2 linked regions of the Caenorhabditis elegans genome follow. The protein of the gene in region 1 purifies or fractionates together with the protein of each later gene. This does not show direct contact. Each region holds a gene or a part of one and is shown on either strand. Other genes may lie near its edges.

Region 1 (3,785 bases):
CAGTGTCCCTGTGTTTTGTTGGCGGTCTTCCACACATTCTACGTGCCGGATTATCTGGAACAAAAACAATTTATCTGAAAATCGGAAAACTAAACTCGATGAAGATTCGGCAGAAAAAAATTCGGAACTACAGTAATCTTTAAAGGCGCACACCCGTTAAACCTGTGCTTAAAACAAGTTTGTCGTGTCTAGACTAAATACCGTATTATTGTAGCCAAAATTGCAAAATTTCGCGAAATTAAATCGTGTCTTTCATTAATGTTGATGTGAGTTTACTTACCACACTGTGAAGTTGGACGATCACTGTTGACAATCACAGAATTTAAAAACTCTAAATCATCGTCGGTGCTTAAATCTTCGTATACTCCTGGTGCTGAAATTTGTAATATATTGGAAAATTGACTTCTCTTGGATTTCCGTACCAAATGCAACTGATTTTTTTGGTTTAGAAGCCACGCTGATTCCTGATCCACTTTTTTTGAGAATTCCAGAATTATTCGACGATTTCTCAATTTGGCAGTTCTTACTCGCATTTTTTTGAGTTTTCTTATTTCCCTTATTGCGTCTATCAGCTTCGTCATTGGAGTCGACAGATTTTTCTCTTTCTTTGGGCTTTGAGGAATACTTGGAGTTAGCTTTCCGGAGCTTTGCCTGGAAAATAATCAGTAAAATTCCATGTTTTTAAAAATTACTAACATAGAAAGGTTCCCTCTTTTTCAAATATTCTCGAAGATTCGAAAAAGCTTCATTCACTACTTCGTCTTGTTCTTTTTGTGGAAGACTCTTGAAACGTGCACCTACTGATCTCTCTGCATTGTCTCGAATTCCTGAAATTAACTATTTAGTTTTTTATTGGAAAACATTGATGTAAAAGCTTTCCTGCAGAAAAATACATAAAATATATTAAAACGAACTGTATCTCGGCAAAAAATATGGGCCATCGGCAATTTTTTTCGATGTATTTCTGTTCTGTGAACGACCGGCGATGCGACCAACTGTTTTTCGTTGTTCATCTGAAAAAAAATCCCAAAAAATGTTCATTTGTAATGTTTAACAATGAATTGGTGTTTATAGAGTTGTTTTCCTCAAAAATAAACATTTATTAAAGTTTTTTTAAATTGTTATTCCGCTTTTAGCATTGAAGCTACTGACGAATTCAAATTTAGCAAGATATAATAGATTAAAAAAATAAATTACCTGTTAATATTATAATATTGTCGTTATTAGAACGAATTCTGGACATTTTCAGCAAAAAAAACCAGATGATAAGTATGCTTTTTCGGGAGAAAAACAGTTTGCTTTATTAAGGTACGATCTTAAAGGCGCATATCGCAAAACGAGAAGATGGTATCGCAACGACTTGCTTTGTTTTGTAGAAACTTATCAGGCCTGGATTGGATTTAGGAAGTAGTTTTCGAATATTAAGACAGAAAGACTGTTTTTTAGACTTTCATTGTTTTAAACTTGCGGAAAGTTTTGAATTCTACACAAAATGAACTAATTTTGCAACAAAAATGGTGTCTTTTGGAAATGGTTCATTAATTACCGCGAATTTGCTCATATTTGAGGATTTTGTAAGAGAATAATTTTGAAAAAAAAACCGTAATTACTGAATATAACAGACTTTTCAGCTGAAAAAAAATTAATATTTGTACAGTTTCCATGTAATAAATGTAGTTAATCCACCAAATCGAACAACTAGACAAATGGCACCTGATTGCTTGCTGAGCAGCTGCCGCTGAAAACGTTTGACGTCACATCCACAATCTTAGTTCTCTCTACTTTGCTTCTAGCTTGTCTGCTGCTCTTTTCATTTTGAGCTCCGAATGTTAATCCAGAACATATTCCTCTTACTTTTTCCAATTTCAACTGTTTTTTCAAGTAATGGAGTGAACTATTTCAAGTCAGAATGTTCATTTTTTCCCGGACGTAGTAATATAAAGTATTGCAGGTTATTTGTAAGTTTTGATGGGTGTCTTTGGCTTTTTTAAATGCTGAATAATTTTAAGGAAGGTGCTAAATATTATTGGAGGCATAATTCAATTGCGTGGAATCCGGAACAGACCAAAAATATGAGTCTTGTTGAACTCAGAAAGCATTGTGATGATTATTTTGTAAGATTTGTTTGTAATACATATGGAAATACAGGCATGTAAAAGTATTCGCTAGATCTTGAGATCTCAGCTCACGATAAAATTTTCAAATAAGTGGGGTTTTGGATATTTTTTTGAATTTAAAAAACAATATTTTTCTAGCTCAGTGTGCTCCATTTCCGCTAAATAAAATTTATTTCGGTACTTCTGTATTATTTCCCCTCATTTTAATATTATCCATTTTAATAAAACGTGATGTCCATTTTCATTCTTTAGGCTTAGAAAGGGTTATTTCCTAAGCCTAAAAATACAAAAACACCACACGTTTTTATTTAAAAGTTTATTTTAAAAACTGAGGGGAAATAATACACAAGTACCTTTATTTCCAGATTTCCACTCAAAACACTTCCAAACAACCAAATTTCATAATAAGAGCTCTTAATAATCGTTCTAAAATGTTTTCAAGTGGTTCAAAATTTCAAATTTTAAAAAGTTAAATTTAGCTGAAATCTCATTTTGACATTTTCACAATGCCTTCAGGTTTGCATGGAAAATACGGGATGCTACATGGATTTTGTCAATTATCAGGAACTGGACAAGTGCATTGATGACGTATTTCATCTAGGACCAATGTATTATTGTGAGAAAACATTGAAGGAAGTTATTGAGAAAACCCCGGATCAAGTTTCTGAATGTGTTAAGGATTATCTCAAAAATGTACTCTTTAGCATTTTGCATTGATTCTGTAAGTTTAATTTCAGAAAAATCCGGACAAAGTCGACTGCGTGAGCATCCAGACAAAAAGTAAATGCTTTCTCGAAGATGTTGGGAAGCATTGTGGTTCTGATTTTTTGAGTCTGTACAAGCAGGTGAAAATTTGATTTTATTAATTTCTGCAGATCTCTTTAACTTATAATGCTACAGCACATAAATATTCGTCTCTACAATCGTGCTTGCGATGGACGTCTTCGATATAAAGATCGGGTTCGTGGAGATGATAATAGCATGCAAAGAGGGATAATTACAAAAGAAGATGTTGAAAGGGATTTCGGAAGTAATTCAACACAAATTTCGGCTTAATTTCAGTTCATTTTTTTCCGAATGGTTTTTTGGCACGTTTTAATAAAACAATTTGAAAAAATTTCGTGCTACATAGAATTCCATTAAACTTCAAGATGCTAGATTATTGAAAAAATATTTATGTATACCTAATTATATGTAGTTCCACGTTGTTGTTTTTTACAAAACTATTTGGAGTTATTAGATTTATTAAAGAAATGACACAGGCATTAAGAAAGAAACTATAGGATCACAGAAGCAAGAAATTTACTCTTTCTTGTCGGCTTTCTTTGTAACCTTGGAACTTGGCGCACTCTGTTCCTCATCGCGGGACAGTGTTGAGCTTTGACTATCACGTATCACGAAACTTCTCGATCTTTTTCTAGCAATCCTATTGTTCCGACAGTCGCGTAAGTGCCTTGTCAGTCGCTGAATAAAATAGTTCTGAAGAATTTCGCATCGAAAGTCGCGTTCTTTCATGTCGAGAAGCTTCCGGCGCTTTGAAACTGCCAGATTGAGCATTATTCTTGGGTGAACTTTCATCGAGGAATTCATTGGCATAGCCTCATCTTCCGATGATGATGAAGAGGATGAAGAGGAGAGTTCAAGACCGTAATCCATATTTCAGATCTG
Region 2 (5,928 bases), on another chromosome or scaffold:
ATGTGATTTTTGACACCACGGAACCATTAGAATTTTATTTGAATTCGGAAATAATATCTCCAATATTAAATTCGTTTTGATTGAACTTTGTTTTTCAGCTACAACAATGCAAATTCGAAGTCGGTGATTTCGTCGACGTCGCGATTTCCTTGCCAAGTCAAGGACGTCGTTTCAATAACCGGGAGCAGGGAGACCGTTTCGATCATCGTCAACGCCAACGTAGTCCGATTCGCTAGACGCCTAACTGTGTGTTAAAATTCAATGATACTCTTCTGTATTTATTAATGTGTCGATTCTTTTTTTTATAACGTGCAATGTAATATTCTGCGTAAATCATGTTTTCCTTTACAATTGTTCAACATACTTAACAATTTACAACAAAGTTTACTTTCACATTTACTGGTCAAAATTGCAAGCTATTTAATTTTAAAAAAGTTTTGTTTTGTGATTATGCAAAAATCGGAAAAATGATCGCGATCAAACTGCTTTCAGCGAAAACTAAAATTTCTTCTCGAATAATTTATTGCTTAATAAATGATAATGGACGGGGGGTAGAGCAAGTAAGATTATTGAAAATCGAAATTTCCAAAAACGTTCTAATTGGAAGTTTCTTTCGCCTTCGAAAACTCCTAATAAGAAAGTTGGAGGAAATTCGCACAGAAAAAAAGGCAGGTAAAACAGGAGTATCTACTATTCAAACTATGTGTCAATGTACTCTACTCTAGATTAAATTACAAAAGGATTCTTAGTTGAAATTATAAAAACATAAAGGGGAATACGATACAATTATGGGGAAAAATGTAATAAAGAATGTTCAGAAAAACAAAAGCATGGGAATTTAAGTACTTGTATAGAGAGTAGGTATAGGGTAGTGGATAAAAAATGTTGGTAATATGTAAAGGGGGTGAATACGTGACAATAAAAGAGAGAATCTCGGGATTACGCCCAGAAGTTTCGCTTCGGAATGGTCATTCCGTTCATTGCAACGGACATCTCATCAACAATGGCTGCCGCCAGTTCTTCTCGCATGTCTTCGTTGATGAGTTCCGAATGGTCTTTGATGATGCGGTTCTCAACTGCTTGCAAATTCACGTAACGCCTGGAAACATTTGTTTTTGATAAAGATTTTTAGGAAAATAAACTATTACTGATGAATTTTGTAATTGTTGCGTCCTCGTTTAGCCAGATTTTCTGCCGCATAAAGAACATCTGGAACCGATGGTGGCTGGTAGGACACTTGATGACCGAATGCGCGGAAGTACGTCAAGTGCATGAGCTCGTTTTTAGACCATTTGGCATCATTGACAAGGATCGTGTACTTGCACGGACGAACGGTACCCTAAAAGAAACTTTCATTTAATAAATTAACTAATGAACAACTTACAATAAGCGGCGTCTGTGAAGACAAAATGAACTCGTCGTATCCGTAGGATGTCAGGACATTCTCGACACATGTTCCAGATGGGATGTTCTGATCCGTCGCTCTGTTGCCACTGATACATGATGGAAAAACGCGAGCATGTGAAGCTCTTTGTGCGATGATCACCACGAGATGTGGACGGTATCCGGGCTGAATCTTGTCAAATGTTCGTCGCATCTCTTCGACTTCTTCCTTAACACGATTGAAGTTTCCTTCTCCAGCACCAACACGATAGATGACGATTCTTGTTGGGAGTGTCTTCGAATGCTCCTTGTACGATCTGACACACTTTGGGAAGAATTCATCAAGTTTTTGAAGTTTGTACTCCTTTTGGGTTTGAAGGTATGTGAAGCCTCCGAGCTGCGTCGAGTTGGTCAGGGAATACGAGACTCCAACAACTGATGGCTCACCATCCATTTGTGATCTACTGCGATCGAACAAAGTGCGTGATGCGCCATGAGAAATCTCGAATCCGATGAATTGTACATGTTCGAGAAGTTTCTTTCTCAATGTTTCATTGTTTGAGCACACTGCTTTTCCACGCACAGCATTCGGGATCTCGACGAAGAAGTTGGTTCCACCACACTTGAGGTTGAACTTTCTCATGACGTTGTCAATCGTTTGGCGTCCACCTTGACCTCCCATCATTTTATCGACAGTCTGTTGACACAATTGGATTGTTTGCAGGCCAATCGATTCCTCAAAGTATTTGAGTATGTCGTGAACATCCGGCTTCTTCTCCCTTGCTATTCCAACAAGAATGTCCACTCTATCATCGAGCCATTTCTTCATCAGATTTTGGATAGCAACGGAATCACTGGAGTTCAATTCACGGATGGACCAATCTCGCGAGTCCTTTTCGACCGTGATTCCATTGTCACGACAGAAATTGGACAGCTTGTCGCAGAAATCTCTGAAAATAGAATATTATAAAGCAGAAGAAAACAACGTTCGACTTACTCGGCCTGTCTCATTTGGATACAGTTGTCAAAGACAACAATACCAATTTTTCTGATCCGTGCTGGTTCGACAAACTTGTCCTGTGTGCGGAACGCTGGACGGCTCATGTCAGGCATGTAAGTCTGGCCCTTGAACTTGATTTGAGCTGGTGGGAGGAGCTTCGCAGTCATTTGGATTGGCTCAGTCGACATCAGTTTGATTCCGAAAGCATCCATGTACTTATTTTGTTCAAGCTTCAAGTTGTCGCGGAGAATATCTTGAACCAACTTCACATGATGCTGTGGCATAGACGCATTTCTTCCTGTCATCGCCGATTGTACTGTCGGGCTCATCTTGTTGACCTTGATCCGCTGGCCTGGAGCAATTCGAAGCAACTCCATTGGGAAGAAAGATTCATGTTTGAATCTTTTTGAGACGACGAGAGGAAGTCTCGGATATTTCAGCTTGATGTTGTACTGCAACAGGAAATATTCCGCCACGGTGACCTCGCGTTCTCCCTTGTCGTCCTTCATCATGAACGAAGTGCTACAAAACAAATTGTTATCACGCTGATGATAACTATCGAATAACTTACTTCTCAGCATTGTTCTCGGCAATCGAGGATACGCGAATAAGGTTACCCTTCAAGTGAGTGCATTCCACGTCCAATCCTTTGAGTGCTTCTTCAATGCATCGCTTCGTGTTTCCTCTTTCGCCAAAAGCGTGTTCCAACTCAGCAGCATCACTCGGAGAGTAGTCCGCTCCATTTGAAGAACCACTGTCTCGACGGGAATCGTACATGTCGCGACGTCCTCTGCTTTCATCTCGGTACCTGTCGTTGCCACCTCGGTTTCCATAGACACCACGAAAGTCTCTCGAGTCGGAACGGCCGCCACGGTATCCACCACGAGAGTCTCGCGAGTCACTTCTTCCGTATCCGCCTCTTCCACCGCCTCCACCTTTCATTTCGGATAACTTGTTGCTTGAAAACTTGATAACTGATGTATCCTTGTAAAATGGAGAAATCTTCGTATCAACCGTCATGAAAGCTTTGCCACCTCCGTTTTGCGATAGACGAGATACTTTCGCAAAACCTGAGCGGATCTCCGAAATAGCATCAGGTTCCGAGTGTGGCGGAGAAAGACGTGGGAATGTGGCATTACCAAATTGTAAGTAATCCTCATTGTTGAGCTTTTGTGAAGTGACGATTTCGATAATACGAGTCAACTCCATACGATTAGCCTCCTCCTGGGCAACTTCTCCTTGGGTGTACACAAATCCGGCAGGTTTGAGAACAACAAGGTAAGAATCGTCCTTTCTGCGAGACAACTTCGACACGAATTTCCATTCTTCCTTCGGGAAGTCATCGATCGTCAACGTGACTTCTTCTTGATCGTCACCAGTGTAGACTCCCTCCGGAAGATAGAGAGTCGCAGCGCAGTCGTAAGCAAGGAAGTGGTGACTCTTTCCACTGAACTTCACCAGAAGCTTGTCATGTACTGTTCTCATGATGTAGTATTGTGCCAAGCGACGGTTATGGGAATTGACACTGGAAAGTACTGATTTTGAGCGGTTATACAAATTAAATACTTACTCTCCCTTGGCCGCCAAAACTCCAAGGTTGGCATTGATCTGTTTTCCGTTGCTGGAACAGACGATGACGTCAACTTGAAAGCGTTGGATCTTGTGGGGCATATCCTTGATGTCCACTGGAAACATGTTCATCTGAACATTCATCGTGTCCATCGTTGCGAAAGAGTCCCGTCCAATTGGTGTTGTTGACTTCGGAGTAGAGAACATTGGTGCTGAAAAAGACAATTTTGAACTCCTAGGCATAATGTTGATTCTAAACGAACCACTTCTCTTTGACGTCGGTTCGTCCTTGTCCTGATTCATTCGGTTGTCTCGTTTGGGAATCCTGTTGGAAGACGAACTTCCCATAATTTTGTCGAGCAAGTCGGCCATGTTTGACTGAAATAAGAAACGATGAAACGAAAAAACGATGCGAATTTCAGATGTAATTGAGATAAAACAGTGAAATTTACTAAGAAAAAGTAAATGAAACAAAAGCTTTACCGTCCTGATTGAGATTTTCAAGTAAAATGAGAAAAAACGCAAGGAGAGAAATGAAATGAAAATAAATAAATTTTAGGCCAGAAAATTCGAGAAAACACATCCGTGGCGGTACAAAAGTTCAAATCGTGGCGCCACATGCGTTGTAACAATAGAGCGCGCTTGCATTGTGATCTCTTCGAAAAATTTCACGTCTAGAAATCGAATTTTATTAGTTTTCAAAAACTTAACGACTATTCTGAACATTTCAAATAAAATAATAGAAAACAATATTTTTAAAAAATTAATTTGTTATGCTTCAATAAATATTAATTATTTAATTCATTTCTACAATCAAAACGATGCTGGTTTTTCAAGTTTTCTGCTTTTTCGTCTCTTTTCTGGCAAATTCAATAAAATGCGACATAATTCATCTCAAACATATGCCTAAAATTCTGAAGGAAAAGGCGTTGCTCGAAAAGCCGATAATTCCAAACAGGCTGCTCCAGCCATTCCTTAATGAATCAATTGCTCATATTTTGATGAATCCGTTAGCTGAAGTGAAGACGAATGCGACGGAAATTAAGTTTCTAAATTATCTAGAAGATAAAAAGAAATATGAACCCGATTGGACAATTCGAGAACTTGAAGATAAAATTGTGAGCTTAATAAGTCATTTTTCAAGTCTAGAAAAGAGTTTCAGAGCCTATCAGAACTGGTCAAGACTTGTCTAGAACACCACTCGTTTCTAGATCTTCCAGATTTATTTCCTCGTTTTCTGTGTGGTTTGTTAGCAGTGTATAGGGAACAGAACACGACAAGTCTTCCATATACTGGATCAATATTTTCTCGATCATCAAATGCAGTAAAATTTCTAAATGATCCAGAGAATTATCCATGTCATTCTATGAATATGACTGATGTGGTGGCACTGGTGCCAGGAAGAATATACAGTGGATGTGTCAAGGATACGGTATCCTTTTCAACAAAATTCTGAAAATCCAGTTATCTGTTTAGGACCCTGAAAAATTCAGTCAATTCGATTCCGTCTTCATCATGTCTCATCCATTCCCAGATGTTCAAAAGTGTCAACAACCTGTGTCAGTGATGCCAAAATGCGAACTGCGATCGATGCTAGTGCAACACAAGATATTGTATCAGCAAAAAGATTGTTGCTGCGATTCCAACATGTGTGCCGTGCTCATCTTCACTCAGACCTCTTCACTGACTCCGCTTGTTTTAAAGACGATTGATTTGACGAGAGAGACGATGGTCCCGTTTCCAGTGACAACGACAGAGATCTCTTTAAATTCAATGTTTCAATAAAGTCAACAATTTCAATAACGCATAAAATGTAAACTCAACAGCAAAAATTAACAAAAAAGAAGATTCAGAATAAAATGGGATTAAAAAAAAAGAAATTAACTACTTCTTTCGTTCATAGGTCCATTTGTAGACGGCTGCTCGCATAGCTTTCGCCTTTTTGACCTTTTGAGGCTTCAATTCTGATTTGCTTC

What was found.
Region 2: the proteins of D1086.5 (region 1) and hrde-1 fractionate together in Caenorhabditis elegans (co-fractionation; one large-scale study listed by BioGRID). This does not show direct contact.

Annotation. Positions count from the first base shown.
Region 1 is NC_003283.11:14,088,339-14,092,123, reverse strand, and holds D1086.5 (T20D4.11-like domain-containing protein), read left to right. Parts: upstream 1-1,764; 5' UTR 1,765-1,826; coding exon 1,827-1,958; intron 1,959-2,009; coding exon 2,010-2,114; intron 2,115-2,633; coding exon 2,634-2,810; intron 2,811-2,854; coding exon 2,855-2,962; intron 2,963-3,017; coding exon 3,018-3,173; 3' UTR 3,174-3,233; downstream 3,234-3,785. Other genes in the region: him-5 (High Incidence of Males (increased X chromosome loss)), read right to left, coding at 1-54, 281-373, 423-651, 697-827, 915-1,013, 1,198-1,243; D1086.19 (uncharacterized protein), read right to left, coding at 3,420-3,773.
Region 2 is NC_003281.10:4,171,830-4,177,757, forward strand, and holds hrde-1 (Argonaute protein hrde-1), read right to left. Parts: upstream 4,331-5,928; 5' UTR 4,325-4,330; coding exon 4,216-4,324; intron 4,165-4,215; coding exon 3,954-4,164; intron 3,909-3,953; coding exon 2,955-3,908; intron 2,906-2,954; coding exon 2,381-2,905; intron 2,334-2,380; coding exon 1,385-2,333; intron 1,340-1,384; coding exon 1,149-1,339; intron 1,100-1,148; coding exon 940-1,099; 3' UTR 508-939; downstream 1-507. Other genes in the region: C16C10.4 (putative histone deacetylase complex subunit SAP18), read left to right, coding at 99-236; C16C10.13 (Rab3 GTPase-activating protein catalytic subunit), read left to right, coding at 4,954-5,070, 5,115-5,384, 5,429-5,737; utp-11 (putative U3 small nucleolar RNA-associated protein 11), read right to left, coding at 5,837-5,928. UniProt on the Caenorhabditis elegans protein: Argonaute protein which is involved in the endogenous small interfering RNA (endo-siRNA) pathway and is required for RNA-mediated gene silencing (RNAi) in the germline.